3 linked regions of the Sus scrofa genome follow. The protein of the gene in region 2 binds, or shares a complex with, the protein of the main gene of each other region. Links are inferred from orthologs where the notes say so. Each region holds a gene or a part of one and is shown on either strand. Other genes may lie near its edges.

Region 1 (7,184 bases), on a different chromosome or scaffold from region 2:
GAAGTGCTCAATGTTAACAACAGTTAACATTTGCTGAGTACATTTTGTGTGCTCAGTATACTAATTAGCTATACAAATTCGTTGATTTAATGATATAAAGTGGTTCTTAACATTTTCTGAGTAAGCCACATTTTTGAAATCTGCAAAAAAAAAAAAAAAGGCTACAGACTCACTCTCTAGAAAACGTACATATTTATAAAATTTTCAACATGTGCTTCTCTCTAAACTGAATTTTTTTTTTTGGAAATATTCTAAGGGACCCCCATGTTCATAACAAGATTATTTATAATAGCCAAGACATGGGAACAACCTTAGTGTCCACTGATAAATGAAGAGACTGAAAATAGACACAGGGAGTTCTCATTGTGGCTCAGAGGTAACGAATCCAACTAGTATCCATGAGGAGTAGGTTTGATCCCAGGCCTCAAACAGCAGGGTAAGGATCCAGCGCTGCCATGAGCTATGGTGTAGGTCACAGACATGGCTCGGATCCTGTGTTGCTATGGCTGTGGTGTAGGCTGGCAGCTGCAGTTCCAATTTGACCCCTAACCTGGGAACTTCCATATGCCACGAGTGCACCCTTAAAAATAAAAATAAAAAAATTTTTTAAAGTATCCAAGAAAATAGATCATACACAGTGGAATTATTATTTAGCCGTAAATAAATGAGGAAATCCTGTCATTTGCAACAAACTGGACAGACCTTCAAGGCTTTATGTTGAATGAAATAAGTCAGAGAAAGACAAACACTGTACACTCTCACTTACACGTGCAATCTAAAACAAGCAAACAAACGAATAGACAAAGAGATCACACTTGTGGTTATCAGAAGTGGCGGGGGCGGGGAGAGGGAGAATTGGAGGAAAGTGGTCAAAAGGTATAAACTTCCAGTTACAAGGTAAATTAAGTACTAGGGATATAATGCACAACATGACTATAGCTAACACTGCTGTATGATACACAGGAAAGTTAAGAGAGTAAATGCTGAGAGTTCTCATCAAAAAGAGAAAAAAAATTTTTCCTTTTCGTCTTCCTTTTCTTTCTACTGTATCTGCATAAGATGGATGTTAGCTGAACCTAAATACTTAATCTAAGCGAATTTCCAATGGTATTCTAATTGGTAGAGAACTCAACTCTAACAAACTGCCTTCAAAAAAGGATTCAAAAATGGTAACAAGAAAAAGAAAGAAAGAAAAGCTGTGTGAAACCAAAAAAAAAGCCAATTTTCAAAATACTAAGGAACGTTACTATGGATAGTTCAACCATAACAAAAATAAACTTATTGAAGGTAGGATCCAATAACCTACAAGTGTGCCCACGTGATACCACAATCTGGGGCATAACTCAAGAGTCTACTGTGAGTATTATTTTCATACATTAAGTAATTAATGGCTTTACTTAGATTTCAATTTTATCCTTTTAAAAGATGTCCCAGCAAATTCAGCATTAAAAAGAGAAACAATAAGTGACCTAAACTTTTTTCACATCAAGATAATTTGAATTAAATCTTAAAGACAGAAACAGGTGGAATGCTAAAAATAGAAGTGAGAGAGCTAGGCAGTGGAATATCTTAGGATGAGATACTTATTTAAGTTCAAAGTGTTCAACTTGATTTTGCCATGTTAAAAAGATTAAGAGAAGGGTGAAGCTCTGTAAAAGATGAGCATGAAACTTTTAAAAATTAAATGTGCAAATAGAGTGTCAGTGGAGATGGCTAGAACACCAAAGGGGAAAAATACACTTCCAATATTCTCCCTGGCCAAAGAAAGGAAAAGAAATTGAGAGAAGATGGGGTAAAATCAAACATGAGGAACAAAACTTAAAAATATAAAAACAACTTTGGTGTTCCTGTCGTGGCTCAGCGATTAATGAATCCGACTAGTATCCATGAGGACACAGGTTCCACCCCTGGCCTCACTCAGTGGGTTAAGCAGCTACAGCTCTGATTCAGTCCCTAGACTGGGAGACCCCTAGCCTGGGAAACTCCATATGCCGCAGGTGTAGCTCTAAAAAGAAACAAAAAAATATATATGTATACACAACTTAGTAATAAACTAAAATTTTTAAATAGCAATTACTTCTACTTCTCTCCCTTGGCTGGTTTTTTAAAATTGTGATAAGATATACACAACATAAAATTTACCATTTTAACCAGTTTTAAGTGTACAGTTCAGAGGCATTAAGTACATTCACACTGTTGGGTAACCATCATCACTATCCATTACCAGAACCTTTTCACTTTCCCAAACTAAAAGTCTATACCCATTAAACAGTAGCTCCTCATACCCTTGGTTAACTTTTTAAATGTCCTTTTTTTCCAGGCAAAAAAAAAAAAAGCACATTTTAACAAGAGAGCACCCAGGCAGAAGAATCTCTTTTGACTCTTTTTTTTTTTCTCCTATATTTTTGCCATTTCTTGGGCCGCTCCCGCGGCATATGGAGGTTTCCAGGCTAGGGGTCTAATCAGAGCTGTAGCTGCCAGCCTACGCCAGAGCCTCAACAACTCAGGATCCCAGCCGTGTCTGCGACCCACACCACAGCTCACGGCAACGCCGGATCCTTAATCCACTGAGCAAGGCCAGGGATAGGACCTGCAACCTCATGGTTCCTAGTCGGATTCGTTAACCACTGAGCCACAATGGTAACTCCTCTTTTGACTCTTTACACCCATAATTTCCTCTGCAGTACGTACCCATGCTCAAAAAACTTAACACTCAGTTAAAACTTAAGACTAAGTAATACATTATTTATGTATATATCTAATCATTCATTCAATAAATGTGAATTGAAGACCTACTTCCTGCCAGGTACTGTGCTAAGCCCTGGGATCCAACTATGAACATGACAGTCTTGGAATTTACAAGCTAGTGTGAAAGGGGCAAAGTTAACAGAATAACTATGCTGTGGATGAGGGTACTGAGATAGAATAATGGTGAAGTGAGGCAACTCCAGAAACAGATACAGTGTTCTGGGAAAGCCTTTTTGGGAGGTGACATTTAAATGAAACTGAAAAAATATTACATGTTTGATTAATCTTTTCCTCTCCCAAAGCAATTAGAATAATAATGCCTTTCGAATAGTGGATCTCAGCATAGCTTTCCAGGCCTCAACTTCCTCATTCTTGAAATGAACTTCCAAGATTCCTTCCATACACAAAATTCCTTTGTTTGAGAGAAAACTAAGTATAAGTGAAATGGACGTGGAGATGCAAAACTGAGTTTAGAAACGACTGCAAGCATTTTGTCGAGGCAAAAACTGAGCTTAGAAATGACTGCAAGACCCTAACCCTAAAGCAGAACGGAGCGCAAAACCCTGTGGATATACCAAAACCACTTAATTGCTACCTCAGATGACTTGCTTCTTATACAACATATAAGCAGAAATCATTCATTCACTCAGCCTTAGGAAACAACACATAACATAGAAGAAAGACGCTGAGTGAATGAATGTGCATGACTACACTAAAAAGCTCAATTGTCATTTTCCTAGGGACTCTCACTGAGAGGGACCAAGAGGGGTCTCCTGCTTCCCTTGCTGCCAGAACAACGGTCCCAATCCGAGGAGGGAGGAGAGAATCACATTTTCCTTGCGGTTCAATCCCGAGATTAGGTCTGCCACCAACCCTAGCTAGCGTGAGAGAATCGTTCCAGATGCTCAAAGAGAATCGAACCTTCAAAGGGGCGCCCTGAGAAAGAGAAAGCTACACTGAGACACCTCCTTTACCCCAGCAGTATCTCCTCCTTGGCCCTCAGCCTCACTCAAATGCGGCTAAAGGAGGACCAGAGAGGCCCTCCTTGTTTTGCCCGGAATGGGTCCCAATCGGGTGCCCTACTCCATCCGCCTGGCACACTGCAAAGAAACTGGGCACCTCCGGAGCCTCTGTGAAGAACCAGCGAGCTGAAGACGCACCCACATACCGTGGGAAAGTAAAAGGGAAAGGCGAGAAGGCCACGAAAAAGGTGTAAGTTAGAGGGGCAGACGGAGAGATTCTCTCTGAGCATCTGTAAGTTCCCAGGAGAACAGAGAAGGAGGTCGCAAGCGAAGGGTCTATAAGCCGGCTCTTACCGTCTGTGGGAGACGCCATCTTCCAACCCATGTCACGTGACGTTGCCAACCGTCGGCGGGAAAGCTAGGGTCCATAAGCCACGCCCCCAGAGAGAAACCCTATTCCCCAACCCTCTGTCCTGTCTCGTTTCCCCGCCCCATAGGGTAATCTTCCGTAGCCCCGCCCCCAGGGCTAGCCACACCCCCTCGCGCTGTGGATGTGCTGGCGCTGCTGAAAATTCTTGCAGAGTCCTATTTACTTTCCTCAGTGAGTGGGTGGGGCTGCGGCCATGCCTGTGGCCAATCGGAGTTCCGAATTCGGGGGCGTCTTCCTCGTGCTCTCAATATAGAGTATCCAAGTCAGGGGCGTCTTCCCCACCTCCGCCAGCAGAATTTGTTGAGGCGGGAGGAGGCGAGAGCTCTATCACTTCTGACCAATCGCATACGCCCAGAACTGGGCACTGAGGGCGTGGAGTCAGTGTTAAGGCGTGTGATTGGCTAGGGGAAATAGTCCTCTCCACCAATGAAGAGGTTCGGCAGGATGGAGGGGCAAGGCCTAGCAGCAGTAGTGTTTCTGGACAGTCTCACAGAAAGGCGTGGGGGGCTGAGAAGAGGCAACCGAGAACCATGGCGGCGGTGCTGGCTGCGGCGGCAGTGCGGGCCCGGATCCTGCAGGCGAGTGAGGGTGGCGCCAAGGGTTCATGAAACTAGGAATTCAGTCCTTTCCATCCGCTTTGTGAACCAACCCCCCCTTGGCCGACCCTCCTATTCCCATCGGACCTGAGCGGCCCTGTCCCACATCTCACTCGGTATCCACTTGCGTTGGATCCAGCCCTGGACTATTACCCGTGGCCTTTTTATTCTTGAGCCTACCCCTTTCAGGCTTTAGACCATTCTCCTCCTCCAGCCGTGCCCGGTCCCTGCCCTCACCTCTGTAGGTCTGCCCACCGTCTTTCCCTTTCACCTCTGCACCAACCACCTCTCTGCTCCAGAAGCTCCTTTTCTGGTCGCCTTTCTTGGCATTCTCTGGGAGCGTCCAAATTGTTCCCTTCCCCAACCCTACTTCACTCTATAACCCGAGGTAAAGGCGTGGGCGGAGGGGAGGAGGAGGAAGGACTTGAGGGGTGAGGGTCAGTGAGTGAACTTTGAGTCTCCTTCTAGAAGTGCACACTAAGCTTTCCCTCAAAGCAGCCATTTGCTGAGCTATCTTCCCCAGCTTTGGCTCTGTATTTTCTTTTTTTCTTTTCTTTTTTTTGTCTTTTTGCCTTTTCTGGGGCCGCACCCGCGGCATATGGAGGTTCCCAGGCTGGGGGTCTAATCGGAGCGGTCTTCGCCGCCCTACGCCAGAGCCACAGCAACGCTAGATCCGAGCCCCCTCTGCGACCTACACCACAGCTCACGGCCACGCCGGATCCTTAACCCACTGAGCAAGGCCAGGGATCAAACCCACAACCTCATGGTTCCTAGTCGGATTCATTAACCACTGAGCCACGACGGGAACTCCGTGGTTCTGTATTTTCCACAAGCTAGGCTGTCCTCTTGGCTTGCTGAGACTTTGAGTTTAACTTTTGCTCAGCCAAGTTAGTGTTTATGTTGGCGGTGAATAAGGACACATAGTTAATGCTACCCGGTTTGTTCCAAGCACATGCAAAGGACTAAACACCTCTGAAACAAGTGGCAGAAAATAAAAGCCAAGGAAAACAGGTGTAACGTTCTAAGTTCCCACTCCAAAATCACCTTAGTGTGACTCAGTTCTGCCCTCAGAGGTGGGGCTGGGAGTGGAGGTGGAGGGACCAGGTCCTCTCTGAAGCCAGCCTAAGGGCAGACAGTAGATAGAGCTACAGGAGCTGCCTGCCTGAGACCTGTGATTTCCAACTATTCATACATAGCTTTTCCTATGTTGTCCACAGCCTAGCAAGGACTTGGATTTTGAGGTGAGATTTGCCACAGGCAACATTCAGGAATCTGCAAAAAACAACGTTGCTTTTCTTACTCATTATATCAAACCTAAGAAAGTCTTCCTCTATACTACTGGACTTTTAGATAGTATTCACCAGATTTCAGTGAGTTCTACTGCAGAGACTATGCATTTTAAAGATTCTTAGCAGAGTCAGCAAAAGTTCCTGTTTAAATATGCTATTTAATGGGACAGTGTGAAGAAAGGGTTGGAAGGGTTTGTCAAGTGATCTGGTTTCACGCATATTTATTTTTCTTTTTTCTTTTTTTTTTTTTTTTTCAATGGCCACACCCTTGGCTGTTGAAGTTCCCAGTCAAGGGATTGAGAGTTTTAACCAAGCCATAGAAGCAGCAATGCTGGATCCTTGAAACCACTGTGCCAGGATTGAACCCATTCCTCAAAGCAAACCTAGTTGCTGCAGTTGGATTCTCAACCCTGTGCAACATTGTGGGAACTCCCATTCATATTTCTTGATGTGATCCTAGTTCTGTTTTTCTAGTATCTTTTTCGTTTTTAGTAATCTTTAGCCAACTAGAAATTACTGTGACATAACACTCTGATAAAGAGTAGTCTATGGGAGTTCCTATTGTGGCTCAGCGGTAAAGAACCCAACTAGTATCTATGAAAATGTGGGTTCGATCCCTGGCCTTGCTTGGTGGGTTAAGCATCTGGTGTTGGGGTGAGCTGTGGTGTAGGTCATAGACACAGCATGGATCCTGCATTGCCATGGCTGTGGTGTAGGCTGGCAGCTGCAGCTCTGATTCGACCCCTAGCCTGGGAACTTCCATGTGGTGTAGGTGCAGGGCCCAAAAAAAAAAAAAAAAAAAAAAAAAAAAAAAGGAGTAGTCTAGTTTCTGGCAGTCATAATATTATCACTCCCATTTAAAGATAAGAAAACTGGTCTTTGAGTTGCTCAGTGACTTTTCTCAGTGATGCAGTATAATGAGCACAGGCTTCCCAATCATAGTTGGATTCTGTCCCAGCTCGACCACGTCCTAGTTTTAAGAATAGTTGTAAAGATTAGAATATCATGAAATAAGTTACCTGACACTAAAGGTCATCCAAAGTCTCCCAGCTAGTAACCAATAGGGCTGAGAATTCAGGACTTAAGTCTTCGTATCTCTTTCTGTGTCAGGCTCTGTCACAAGTTTGGAGAATGGAGCAAACTACTCAATGAAAGCTCC
Region 2 (6,573 bases):
GGGCACAATTTTCAATTTAAAGCAAAATGGCATACTGAAGTAATTTGAAGTATATAAAGTTGAATAAAGTACATTAACATTTTCAGAAACACACACACAAACTGGAGTGGATGCCTGCAACAGGGATGATTTCAGGCATACATTAAAAGCTGATAGTTTTGTAAATGTAATCCTCATTGGGGGAAAGCCTCCCGGCTAAGGGTGAAAGACTACATCACCAAAATAACCAGAAGACCAGGCTTTACGACCCCACCCTGAATGACAAGCTTCAGGCAGCTTAGTGCCTCTTTCACTCAGGGGAGGGCGAGGAAAGGGCGGAGTCAGTAACCACCCAAGAAGGAAACCTCACTAGAACCCCTGCCTGAGATGAAGAGAATCCATAAATCCTTTAGGCTACTGGTCCCCAGACTTTCCTGCTGCTCTTTTTATTTATCTTTTCCTTTTTTTTTTTTTTTTTTTGGTCTCTTTGCCTTTTCTAGGGCCGCTCCCACGACAAATGGAGAAACCAAGCTAGGGGTCTAATAGGAGCTGTAGCCGCGGGCCTCCGCCAGAGCCACAGCAACACGGGATCCGAGCCGCGTGTGCAACCTACACCACAGCTCATGGCAAAGCCAGATCCTTAACCCACTGAGCAAGGCCAGGGATCAAACCTGCAACCTCATGGTTCCTAGTTGGATTCGTTAACCACTGAGCCACGACCAGAACTCCTATCTTTTCCATTTTTTAAGTTTTATTGAGGTACAGTTGATATACAATGTTGTGATAACCTGCTACTCTTTTTAGACTTAAGACGAACCAAAGAACAGAATTTAGTAATTCCCCACAAAAACAGTTCATTTTTCCTGAAAATATGTTAACCATTCTCTAGAATTCTCAGATTTATGAGAGAGTATGGTTAACAGTCCTTGTAGACATAGGTTTTTGTAAGGAATTTTAAGTGTGTGAATACTAACACACCTACCATTTACTGACCAGTGGGCTGGTCTTTTGGGGATTTACCTTTGCAAACCAGCAAGTTAAATAAATGCTTTAATTCTTATTTTTATGGAGGAAGAAATGAGATCTCGGAGAGGTTAAGAAACTATGTAGTTAGAGGAAAGACTGAAAAATGGATCTTCTGACTTCACAGCCTGCATGGTCCTGACAATTCCCAGTTGTGTCTGTAGTCTTAATTATCAAATACTTTTGAAACCCTCATTTTTTCTTCTTCTTCCTCCTTCTCCTTTTTTTTTTTTAAGTGCCTTCTTATTTAAGTGACCCAGAATCTCTGTATGCAATCAGGACAGACAGGAAAGCAACACTGCTAGAGAAAAGAGTGGGAAACGCCAGCGACGGTAAATTTAGCCCCCTAGTGACACCCTAGCTCTAAGGAAACCAGCAGTTCCAGCCCTGGAACAGTCCTGGGCTGTGCCTCTGTGATCACTGAGCCTTCTTTTGCTCTCAAATTATATGCTGACTCCTTGGGACAGCAGCACTTGCCTTGAGTCAGACCTCTTAGAGGCATCATCTTATTTAAGCATCATGGCAGCCACCGAAGTGATGAGACACCCTTGGACGGTCCCCATTAGTTCTTAGGAAAACAGCTTGGAGCAGTTAAATGGGGGAGCCACAATCCATACTTGGATCTGTCTCACTCCGCACCCTATGCCCTGAACTAACTCGATAATGGTCACAGCCTGAAGACCACTACTGTCTTCATGAAGAGTAAAATAAATTACAAATTCTGTAATTTGAAAACTGCTACTGCTTACCTAGTATGATAAACAGTAGCAGCAATCTTAGTTAAAATGAAAATCATACTGGTGGGAATGTAAACTGGTCCAACTGCTCGGGAAAACAGTATGGAGGTTCCTCAAAAAATTAAAATGACCCAGCAATCCCACCTCTGGGTATGTATCTGAAGGAAATCACAATCCTGAGCAGATAACCTGCATTCCCATGTTTACTGCCTACAGCATCATTTCCAACAGCCGAGGCATGGAAACAATCTGTGTCCACCATCAGATGAATGGATAAAGAAAATGTGGGGTATACACACAATGGGTCATTCAGCCATAAAAAAAGAAGGAAATCCTGCCATTTGCAACAACATGGATGCCCCTTGAGAGTATTACGCTAAGTGAGACAAAAAGAGAAAAACAAATAGTGTACGATCTCATAAGTGGAATCTTAAAAAAACAAAAACTAAAACCAAAACCAAACTCAGGAGTTCCCATCGTGGCGCAGTGGTTAACGAATCCGACTAGGAACCATGAGGTTGTGGGTTCGATCCCTGCCTTTGCTCAGTGGGTTAAAAGATCTGGCGTTGCCGTGAGCTGTGGTGTAGGTTGCAGACGTGGCTCGGATCCCGCGTTGCTGTGGCTCTGGCATAGGCTGGCAGCTACAGCTCCGATTAGACCCCTAGCCTGGGAACCTCCATGTGCCACGGGAGTGGCCCTAGAAAAGACCAAAAAAAACAAACAAACAAACAAACAAAAAAAACAAAACCAAACTCACAGATGCAGAGAACAGACTGGTAACCTGCCAGACATGGGGGGTGAGTGAAATGAATGAAGATGGTCAAAAGGTACAGACTTCACAGGATGAGATAAATAAGAAAGAAAGCAGAGAACACATCTAGCATTTTCACATCTGTTCGTTCATCATAAAGAGAAGCACACTCAACTCTGACACAGCAAAGGAAAACAACTGCTTTAGTGCAGCATTGATCTAAACCATTCTCAGCATCAACTACGACAGTGAATCACCAGCGAACCTACCTGAGTGATGCTCTACTTTACCTGCCCAGAGTTACACCACCTACATGTACATACATGGGCACCACCATGCATATGACAAAGGCAGCACAGGGCCAGGCCCAAGAGAGGGGGTTGCGGAGGGTGAATGACAGAGCAAGCACTAGCAGGTGACGGCACCCCATGTCTGCAAAGCCGTTTCATATGCCTTGAGGAAGTCAGCCTTGGAGCACAACCCTCTTAATTTTGCAATTGTTCGGCATAACGTTAGAAGGTGAGCCCTGCACTCTGCTGCTCGTTCCCCACTTACTTGTCACTGGAGATGCTGCAATCTATGACTGTTTTTCTGCTTGTGTTGATGATTATAAACGGCAGCTGGATGGTGGAGTTCAGAGCTGGAGGGCCCTGGTTCTGCTGTTCATTTTGCCGATTTCTCTGTACCAGGTTTTTGAAAGCAATTTGCTGTGATGATCAATAAAAACATACATTTAGTCATTTCATGTGGATAAAGGAGGTGGAACTAAATGGATTATGATGAATACGCTTAAAATATAGTTTAAAATGAGAGCATTTAAAGAGGCCTTTCACCTCTGGGTTAATTAAAATTAAATATTTAAGAAGAAAGATTAGAACGATCCAACTCAATAAATTTCAAGGGAAAAATATACTCTTAAATGGTGTCTAACGTATCCTAATGTAAATAATAGGGCCCATGGCTTCCACCACCCACTAAAGCAGGATCTTACAGATCTGGGAGAAGCCAGTGCACCCACAACTCATAGAGTGAGTAATACAGAGAAAGTGACACCAAGTGGACTTGTTTTCATTTATCTAACACAGACTCCTGAGAGCTTAGCATGAAATACACTTCTTAGATTGTCTAGCCCAGAAATATGCAAATTTTATAAAGCCACAGAACCCTTTCTTCAAATGACATCTTCTGGGACAGCCACTATTTATATAACAGATGAAAGCAGCATTGCTCTGGCTGGATGCATGGGACTGAGTCCTGAGCCCTAAGCCCCAACAGGTCTGCCCTCACCTGAGATCCTTCACAGAACTTCTAAGCATCCTGAGGGCAGAGTCTGGAACCTGGCCCAACCTCTGCCCACCTGACATCTTCCAGATGAGGAAACTGATTCTAAGATATACCAAGGCCTGAATCTTTACACTGAATCTCGCTACTTTTAGTTATAACCATTACTCATAAGGCATAGAAAGTGACCCCCGCCTCCCCTTTTTCTTACTAGGGCTGCACCCGCAGCATATGGAAGTTCCCAGGCTAGGGGTCGAATCAGAGCTGCAGCTGCCAGCGTATGCCCCAGCCACATCAAACCTGAGCTGCATCTTCGACTTACATGCAAGTTGTGGCAATGCAGGATCCTTAATCCACTAAGTAGGGCCAAGAAGTGAACCTGCACCCTCATGGGTACTAGTCAGGTTCTTAACCCCCTGAGCCACAAAAGGAATTCCTACCACAGCCCCCCCACTGTTTTCCATTTGGGGACCACAAGGTAAAACTTTCAAGGCAGACTTGGTTCCACCCAACCAGCACATGATGAAACCCTCATCTAAAACCTTCATCCAAGAGGGCACTGTCCGCCCCAAAAGTCACCTCAGAGGCCAGACCCTTCCTTCTAACGATGCCACTGTAGTCGCAGATCATTTGGAACTGCTCCCCCAAGCAACTGTGTGGAATGCTTGTCTGGGGCAGTTCACCGTCTGCCTACAAGACCATTGTCAGGATTTTGAGGCCATAGCTTCCTCTGGCACAAAACGACATTTCAATGTAATCATTGTAATAGATGGCAAAAAAAGTCACAGTTCTCTCTTTGCTCCTACATCCCTACCATTTGATTTGTAATTTGCTTTGGCCAATGGGATGTTGGCAGAAATAATGCACAGGCTTGAAAATGGACTTGCACACAGAAATTTCTTTCTCTCTATGGCTCTGCCATCAACATGAAACTATGGCCCAGTTAGCTTAAGAGGAGCTACTGTCCACAAGGCAGGAAGGGTAGGCAGTGAATTCCCCCTGGACCCTCTGCAGAGGGCAGATGTAGGGCCAGCCTGCAGGGTGCGAGCCCCCAGTCCCTGGGGCCCACTGTCAGACCAAAAGAAGATGCAAGGTCATTTCCAGGGCGAGGTCTCAGGGGACGAGGGAACTACATCTCCATGACCTGGTCCCTACTACCGCTTTTTAAATAAGGCAGAACCCACAGTTACAAAAACCTTAGGCAACTGAAGTCTTTGATCTGCTCATAGAACGGATACTAGTTTTAAAAACTAAAGTTGGAATCTTTCTTCGGCTTGCTCCATCTTCTCCCCCAGCAGTGATGAGTTTATTTTCTACATTTCAATAGCCTTATTCTAAGGTGGTTTATTTTAGGTTCTGGGCCTTACTGAAGTTTGGTTACAATTATTATTTTTAAATGGCTGGGTGCTATCTCCCTGGAAAGTAAACATTTACTTTTTGAAAATGCACGAAACAGAAGGGACACCAGTATATTCTAGGCCTAAAAGTGTGTCCAAAAGTCACTACCCAAAACCATCACTGTCGATACCATTCATTACCAAACATTACTTGGGTCCTATGTGTTATTTTCTGCTGCTAATGAACTAAGACTATTTCATATTCAATACTTCCTTCACTTAATATGGAGAAAAAATATGCTGAACCTGTAAAACTGGGGAAATGAATTGTATGTTTGAATACTTCTGCTCTCTTCTAGAAAAAGCATCTCAGAGACGCCCCTATATTTTGCCTAGCTTTGTGGTCCTAGTGCCATTGGGAGGGGGTTGGCATGGGGGGGGATATAAACAGGGATAAGTAACAGTTCTTATGTATTTATGATTCATTGTTCGATACTATGTTCCCTTGACAGCAAAGATTTTTCAAGTGAAGAAAGCAGTAAAAACACATATGTTATTTTGAGAGTAAAAAAGAAATACCACTCCCCATTTGTTTTGAACTAATTTCTTTTGGTCTTTTGTTGTTGTTGTTATTTTCTTTTTGGCCATACCCAGGGCATGCAGAAGTTCCCAGGCCAAGGACTGAACCTGAGCCACAGCAGTGACAACGCCAGGTCCTTTACCTGTTGAGCCACAAGGGAACTCACAGCCTTTTGTTCTTTTCCAGGCTCACTGACAGAGGCTAAACAGCTTCAGGTGTGTTCGTTCATTGTGCTCTGCATTAGTAGCTCTGTAAAAGGTTTAAGGGCTTCAAGGGACAACTGTATTGATAAAAGTAGGGCACCTGGGTTATCTGTAAATCTAACCTACTCACATCATCCCACTCCTACATTATCACCAAGGATAAATGAGAAGTGATGGCGTGTAGGTAAAAGTTACTTGGGTCGTATGATGTCAACAGCTGTGACATTAACTTGTTAAAGAAATTAAGCTAGCTTGGTCACAGCAAGACAAACTCGTGGTGTTCAGGGACAACCTGCTTATTTTACTTTCTGCGAGAACTTCATAAATGGTCTTTGATGAAAGAAAGGAAAAGGAAACATTAGGAAGAAATAAGCTGTTTGTCTACCAGAAGTAGTTGTTTTCAGTGATACTTTGGGTTTCATTTTAATGTTTAGAGAGACCTGCTTTAAATGTCGACAGCTGGGTTGCGCCTGGGCTGAAATCATCCATAAATATTTGGTTTGGGAGAGACTCAAGGAAAAGAAATACGGTACTTAAAAAATGCAAAATTCATTGTGTAAAGATAAGCAGGGGGGAAGGGAAAAAAAAAAAAAAAACCACCTCCATTCTCAGTGCTGGCCATCTCGAGATGGGAAAGCCCTACATACATACAAGAGGACAATCTTGCCCAGCACAAATCCTT
Region 3 (7,253 bases), on a different chromosome or scaffold from region 2:
GCCAGGCTCTGGATGCTGAGGGGCATGGAGAAATACCACCTGGTCCCTTGATGGAACTTACCTAACAGATAAACATGACATGAAAACAAAGCTTCGTTTGTTGAGGTAGAACACAGGAAAGGTCCCAAGAGGGAAAGAGGCACTCTGACCATGAGAGGGGAGGCAGGCGGGGAAGGCTTCCTGGAGAAGTGACATTTAAACTAGGTCATGAAGCTTTTTCCAGTGTGGCTGCTGAGGAAAGAAGGCACCCGTCAGCCGTATGGATGGGGCAGCAGTGCCTAGGGGCCTGTCACCAGGCTCTTCAAGGTGCAAAAGAGCCTATAAAGTTGAAGGCGAATGAAGATTGTCATGACAAATGTTTTCCCAAAACTTATCATCAAAGATGGCTGTAAGAAAACCACTAAGAGCACAACTGCATGTAAGAAGCGTATGGGTACTTGCAGATGAATGTTCAGGTTCTTAGCTGTGGTGTTTAAAATTTCCTCATTGGAGTTCCCATTGTGGCTCAGTGGTAACAAACCTGACTAGTATCCAAGAGGACGCGGGTTCGATCCCCGGCCTCATTCGGTGGGTTGAGGATCCGGCATTGCCATAAGCTGTGGTGTAGGTCTCAAACAATGTATGTTGCAAATGTGGTTGGGATCTGGCTTTGCTTTGGCTATGGCTAGGCTGGTAGCTACAGCTCCGATTCCACCCCTAGCCTAGGAACTTCCATATGCTACAAGTGCAGCCCTAAAAATACCAAAAAAAAAAAAATTATTTAAAAAAAATAAAAATTCTTTATTGCCTGAAAGGTGAGGCATAAAATATTATGGAATAAAAAATGAAGACTTGGTCAAGAAGACATGCATTGAAGCAAATGATGAAAATTAACATTTTATTTAACATTCATTGATCAGCTCGCAATAAGTTATGTAGAAAAATACATGCTTGAATGATTTTAATGGCTAAGGAATAAAATAAAATAGTAATATCAAAAAAGTAAAATAAAAAAGTAATATCAAAAAAGTAAAATAAAAAGTAAAATAAAAAAGTAATATCAAAAAAATTAACTGGGAGCTCCCTCGTGGCTCAGTGAATTAAGGATCCTGCATTGGCACTGTGGCGCGGGTTTGATCTCTTGCCAGGAAACTTCAATATGCCGTGGGTGCGCCAAAAATAAATAAATAAGTAAATAAATAGGCTGGGCCATGAAAGTCCAGTGAAATGCATAGACTGGAGTAAAGGGGTCTGTGTACTAGAGATAAGGCCAGAGATGTAACCACAGCTGCTGTTTCTTAAGTGCCTAAGGAACTAGGCTGGGTGCTGAGAGCTTTACATGTGGTATCTCATGAGATTCCCCCACAATCTTATGAAGTGAGTGTCACTAGGGATAAGGAAACCCGAGCTCAGAGAGTTTACAGAACTTGCCTGGGGTCACACAGCTAGTGAAGTGACAGTGCCTGGGATTGAACCCAGGGCTGTCTGCCACAAAGTCTGGGTTCTTCATCCCCATGAATTATTACCACCTCATCCTGGAGATCTGAGGATCCGGTAGGTAGTAAGCTGGAGACTGACTCCAGAGTGCTTCGAATGCCAGGCTCAAACTTGTATAAAAATCACACAGCACCAGGCAGGAATCAGCAGATATGGAATTTAGCAGCAACTTCTGGAGCCTCTGCCACTCACTAGCCAAGGTCTCTTCTCTGAGCCTTGGCCTCCCTAAATTTGGAGAGATGAGGAATGTAAATGGATTATCAGCAATGAGGGAAGGAAGACCTGTGACTAAAGGATTGTTTAGGAGAAACCTGGAGATGTGCAATTATTTACTGAGTGATGGGCTCTGGGCATACACTGTGAACAGGTTGGAGCCCTGCAGTCTGAACTCCCAAGCAAGCCTGCAAGGGGCCGGGCACAGCTTGGGAGAGTGAGGGAGGAGACTTTTATTGGAACAAATAAGGGCCCAGGAGCTGGCCTGTCCCATGTTGAACTGCCAGACCTCAAGTCGCTGATCTCTCTGTGTGACCTTGGGCAAGTTACCTAGCCTCTCAGACTGTCCATCTTTGCCACGAAGAACATTGTTCCTCTTCTGAGGGTTGTTGGATTAAATTAAATGAAATAAAACGAAATCATCTAGCCAGGTGCTTAGCATAATCAATATGCCAGGTTATGGGAGCTCAATAGATGTCAGTAGCCCCCTTTGAAGAGGTACAAATGTTAGGTTCCGTCTTTCACCCTCTTGCCAGGAAAGAGTACAGGTTCCTGGCTTTCAGTTTCATTTTGGCTCTCATTTCATTTCATTTCATTTTAGCGGGGGGAAAAGGATATAAACACACATATGTTATCTGAACTATACGCAAACAAAAGGCCTGCGTCCTGGGCAGTGTACTGCTTGCTGGGTCTGGGCTCTGGTCAGGACTCCACGCCAAAGTGTTTTCCCTCACCTCCAGGGAATTCGGACCCAGTCCTCAGCTTGCGGCTGCCTCTACCCTGGGCGGGAACCATCCTCTCAGTCTGTTTCTCCCTCAGCCAGCGCTGGCGGGCGCCGAGCAACAGCAGGTGTAGCGGCCCCTTTAAGCCCCAGGCTCTTGTTGTAATCACCGCCTAGGGGTCGGGTCCTTTCCGGGGGGTGGAGCCTTTGCCTGTGTCAGCGACCAATCAGAGCGCGGCATTTTCCGCGGGAGATCCGAATTTCGCGGCACGCAGTTTCGCGCTAAAAAAAAAAAGAAGAAGAAAAAAAAGAAGCAGAGAAAGGTTCAGGGACTCGAGAGCGAGGCGAGAGGGAGTCGGTGCAATCGGTCTGTCTCCCCGATCCCAGCGCATCGCGTTTCTGCCGAGCCCGCGGGTACCCCAGAGACCCCTTCCCGGAGCCGGCTGGATCCCAGGCGCCTAAGCCTTCGGGGGCTCAGGGCCCTCGCTGGTCGCAGCCGTCCTCGGGGCGGGACAGCCCCTGGCTGTGCCGCCGCCGCCGCCGCCACCAAGCGATCTCCAAGCGGCGATCTCCAAGCGCTGTCCGGCTCGGCGGCGGGCCAGGAGGGGAGGGTCTGGCCTTGCCCCGCCGGCGTCCATTGGCGGCTTCCCCCGGCCTCCGCGCCATGCCGCGGGTCGTGTGAGCCACCCTAGGCTCCGAAGCCCGCAGGTGCCTGCGGGCGCGCCAGGCCCGGCTGGGGAGGGGGCGCTGCACTCGCCATGCTGCGAGGGCCCCGGGTCCTGGCTCCTGCCGCGGGGCCGCCCCCCACTGGACTGCCCGCGATGAGCCCCACCGAGCTGTGGCCGCCCGGCCTTAGCAGCCCCCAGCTCTGCCAGGCCACCACCACCTACTACACCCAGCTGTACCCGCAGACTATGCCTCCCGCCGCAGCGCCGGGCACCTGCCTCGACGCCACCCCCCACGGACCGGAGGGCCAAGCTGTGCGATGCGTGCCGGCTGGCCGGCTGCCGGTAATGCTGGGGACCCCCCTCACCCACCGCTTCCCTCTCTGCTTATCTGGGTGTGGGAAAGGCGGGAGGGACCCAGTCTGAGTGAAGCAGGTTGAATCTGGGGAGGGAGAAGGGGCGCTTTCAGCTTCCAGAACAACACATTTCCTAAATATCTGAATAGAAGAGCCTTTCGTTTTCAGACTTGGGGTGAAATAACCTCATTTCTTGGAGTGGAATGGAATGAGCACTGGATCAAGAGTGTGGAGACCCAACACTATCCTCAGTGCACCCTGGGGAAGACCATGGGATCAATTTGCTGTCATTCATTCTTGTGTTCATTGTTTGGCCCAGAAACCAGTGCTGGGCACCTGCTATTGTCCAGTCACAGAGCTGAGCCTGGGGACAGTAACAAGGGACTTTAAAATAGGGGGAGGTCTCTCAGGTCCAGTCGGGCTGAGATTCCAAATTTTGCACTGAGCCAACTCTTTCCTGACTTTTGCCCTAGGTCCTCCCCCAGGCTCAATCTTCTGTTCCAGACAGCCAGTAGCAGGTGCAAGTTGGGGGCAGCCCTCTGGGGTTCCTGTTCAGATTGACTGTTCCTTCTTCAAGCCCCCAGGCCCGTTGCCAGGGAGGGGCCAATGTGTGGTGGCACCAGACACAGGGTGTGTTGTGTGGGAGTGGAATTCCTGGAGCCCATGAGAATCGAAACAACCATAGGGTGGGGATGGAGTTGGAAGAGCCCTGAGGGTGTGGGGGTGGTAGTTAGCGAGCCTGGTTTCTCGTCCTGATTGCCATTTATTCGCTGTGTGTCCTTGGACAAGTCTTGGCCCCAATCTGAGTCCCAATTTCCTTGTCTTGAAAATGTGTGTCTGCATGGGTAGCTGTGGGACTAACTCACCTCGAGTCTCTTCCAGCTCCAGGTCCTGGGTTTTGGAAGCAGGCTCCAAGGAGGGGAGATGGGGCTCTTGTGGGTTTGCTTTGTGTGAGTGGTGAAGTAATTCAGGTACAGGGATAAGACCACCCCTCTGCCCTAGAGGCATCTGGTCAGACCTGTGTCAGTCAGCAGGCATAGGTCTCCAGCCACCTCTGGCTACGGGCAGAGTCCCCCACTCCCTGCTGCTTGAATCCTGCTTTGCCCATGCTCAAGGCTTAAAACTTTTCAGGGCTCCTTCCTGAACATTATTTCCAACCAGGAGAAAGGAGCAGGAGGACTTTTCCTATTTCACAGGTCAAACAGCCAAGGGTAACAAGGACTCTGCACCTATATTTTATTCAGCATTTTACAGCCTAAAACAGTTTTGAAACCTATAAAGTAGGTGGTATCAGTGTGCAGGGAGGGAAATAGTCTTGCAGAGGGGATGGGACCTGTCCAAGGTCACACAGAGAGATGTATGACCCACAAGGCAAGTGATCATTAGTTTCTTCCCGCAGCCTTGACTTTCCCCAGTACTGCCTGATGTAGGAGCTGGGTGTCCCCACGGAGGGGGCTCAGCGGTGGGCCCAGTCTCTCCTCTGGCCAGCTGCTTTCAGGCAACCCGGCAGAGTTTCAGTAACAGCTGTGGTTTTGAACTGCTTCCCTCCCAGAGGAGTCGAGTGCATCTGTCCGTCCCTCCCTCCCTGAGAGGCTCAGTGATCACAGCAAGAATGACTCTCTTTTATTGAATGCCTCTGATGTGCCAGGCACTGCTTGGCACTCTTCGCTTTCGTTATCTTGGCCAAGATGCCTGGCAAGAGGCATCTTACAGATGAGGAAACTGAGCATAGACGTGAAGTCACTTGTCCAAGCTCCAACCAAGACATGGTAGCATCTCTTTGCATCAGACCACCCTCAAGGCATTTGGGGCCTAGAACCCCCCTCTCCTGTTGGTCCCCAGCTGCCCTGTGCCCCTGAGTCCCCTGGGCAGGCCTTGGCCCCCTGCTTACTCATTTTAACAGGGTGTGACCTGGAATAGCTCCAGACCCAACCCTGGGTGTGGCCCCTTGCTTTGTGGCCAGGCTGCAAAGTGCAGGGTGAGCAGGATTTGTTGGGGAGCTGCTGTTTAAAGGGACCTTAGGCACTGCCCAGGGATGGCAGCCAAGTTCAATGGCAGAATGAAGGCGGGAACCCAGGTCTCCAGAGCTCTCTCCGCCACCTCTGGAGAAAGTGTGGGATGTTCCTTGGTTAAGTTCCTACTGCGCCAGGCACGTGGCCTCACTCTATGCCTTTCCTGCAGGAACCTGTGACGAGGGTAGAATTCTGCATAATTTGTCTGTATTTTCCAAATTTCCTCTGAGAGCCAGGAAAGAAAATGAACATTTTAATGAAAAGCCTACAATGCGGGTCAGATGAGGAAATGAAGGCCTAAGGAGGGAGGCAGCAAGCCCCTCTCAGGCTACCAGGCAGAGCCGGGATCTGGAAACCAGGCTCTCAGCAACTTACACTGGCTCCTGCTCCCACTGTCTAGCTTGGGACTTGGGGCTTAGGCAACACCTGCTCCACTCCCTGTGTGACCTTGCGCAAGTCACTTCCCCTCCTTCGAGTCCCAGTCTCCTCACCTTGCTGCCCATCCAGGGGCAGCATCTGGGGCTCTGGCCCTCTCACTTTGAGGGCTGCCCGCTCTTCTCCCTTGGGGTTGGCAGAGTACTTTCGAATCCTAACCAGGCCTTTAAGAAACAGCCAAAGGGGCTGCCTAAGAGGTTAGAGGTCAGGTTAGAGCCAGCTGGCCTTTGCTCTTGGCACATCCCTGTTGCTTTTCAGTTCACCTCCAAGCTTTCCCTTTGTGGACTTTAGCGATTGCGGCTCCCCGCATGAGCAAGAGCTTTGAGCTGTGTTCTCAGTGGATCCTCGCCAGGAGAAGGTAGAGCGTCCCCGTTTTACAAGCAAAGCTCAAGAGGTCAGCAGACTTGTCCAGCTTACCCAGCCTAGTCAGGAACCCAGATGGCTTTGACTCCAAGCTCTGGGTTCAGCTTCTCCTTGGTCCTCATTCTCCTGGGCTTGGCCTCCGTCACTTCTGTTCTGCAGACTCAGGCCCATCCCTGATGAGCCGACTTTTCTCTGGGCAGTGTTCAAAAGGGGCAGAGAGACATTCTCGGGTGGGGGACATTTTGCTGCTCAGGGACCCTGAGAGCGCAGGATAAGGGTGAAGGAGAAGAAGAAAAGGGAGGGGGCTGGTGCGTGCGTGTGTGTGGTGTGTGTGTGTGTGTGTGTGTGTGTGTGTGTGTATAAAGTGATGGAGGCAGGTGGACATAACCAGGCCTTGTTTCAAATGTCAGCAAATTCTGGGCCAGTGTATGTGGGATGGAGCTGAGCAGCCTGATACATGGCTTTGGAGTCAGACAGACCTGGGTTCAAACTCTGGCTCTGCTCTTTGTCTGGGTGGCCTTGGGTGCGTGGCTTAACCTCTCTGAGCCTCCATTTCTCAACTGCCAAGTGAGATTACCATACTGAGTTAGGATGGGTGAGCGTGTGATAGGCCCAGTACAGGTATCCTGTCCAAGGTCCTCTCCTCCTCCCCGCCCTGTAGGTAGTGAGGTTCTTCTGGTGTGTTCTGTGAACTCAGCAGGGGCTGGCTTCTGTGGGGTGAGGGAGGTGGGTGGCACTGGGGAGACTCTGGGCTGCCACCTTTGCCTCATGTAGAACTCAGCCTTCCTCTCCTTGTCCTTGCTGTACCTTCTGAGGGATGGATGAAGGATTCTGGGATGGACAACCTTGATCAGGACTGATAAAGGCCTTGGAGCTTACCAGGTCTCAGCTGCTTCACCTGTGAAATGGGTGTTGGGAAGACTCAATGAGGTGATGAATATTGGGACTTAGTTAAAGGCAGGCGGAAGGTCTCAGTGAATGATTGGGACTTTATAGATTGGGACTAGAGCAG

What was found.
Region 1: TFDP2 (region 2) and LIN52 share a complex: the UniProt entries of both Homo sapiens proteins name them as parts of the DREAM complex. The link is inferred for Sus scrofa from reciprocal best matches to the Homo sapiens genes TFDP2 and LIN52.
Region 3: TFDP2 (region 2) and E2F2 share a complex: the UniProt entries of both Homo sapiens proteins name them as parts of the DRTF1/E2F transcription factor complex. The link is inferred for Sus scrofa from reciprocal best matches to the Homo sapiens genes TFDP2 and E2F2.

The regions. Positions count from the first base shown.
Region 1 is NC_010449.5:97,379,268-97,386,451, reverse strand, and holds the start of LIN52 (protein lin-52 homolog), read right to left. Parts: upstream 4,433-7,184; 5' UTR 4,096-4,432; coding exon 4,065-4,095; intron 1-4,064. Other genes in the region: ALDH6A1 (methylmalonate-semialdehyde dehydrogenase [acylating], mitochondrial), read left to right, coding at 4,671-4,718.
Region 2 is NC_010455.5:82,764,965-82,771,537, forward strand, and holds part of TFDP2 (transcription factor Dp-2), read right to left. Parts: intron 3,198-6,573; coding exon 3,046-3,197; intron 1-3,045. UniProt on the Homo sapiens protein: Can stimulate E2F-dependent transcription.
Region 3 is NC_010448.4:81,394,262-81,401,514, reverse strand, and holds the start of E2F2 (transcription factor E2F2), read left to right. Parts: upstream 1-2,652; 5' UTR 2,653-3,168; coding exon 3,169-3,420; intron 3,421-7,253. UniProt on the Homo sapiens protein: Transcription activator that binds DNA cooperatively with DP proteins through the E2 recognition site, 5'-TTTC[CG]CGC-3' found in the promoter region of a number of genes whose products are involved in cell cycle regulation or in DNA replication.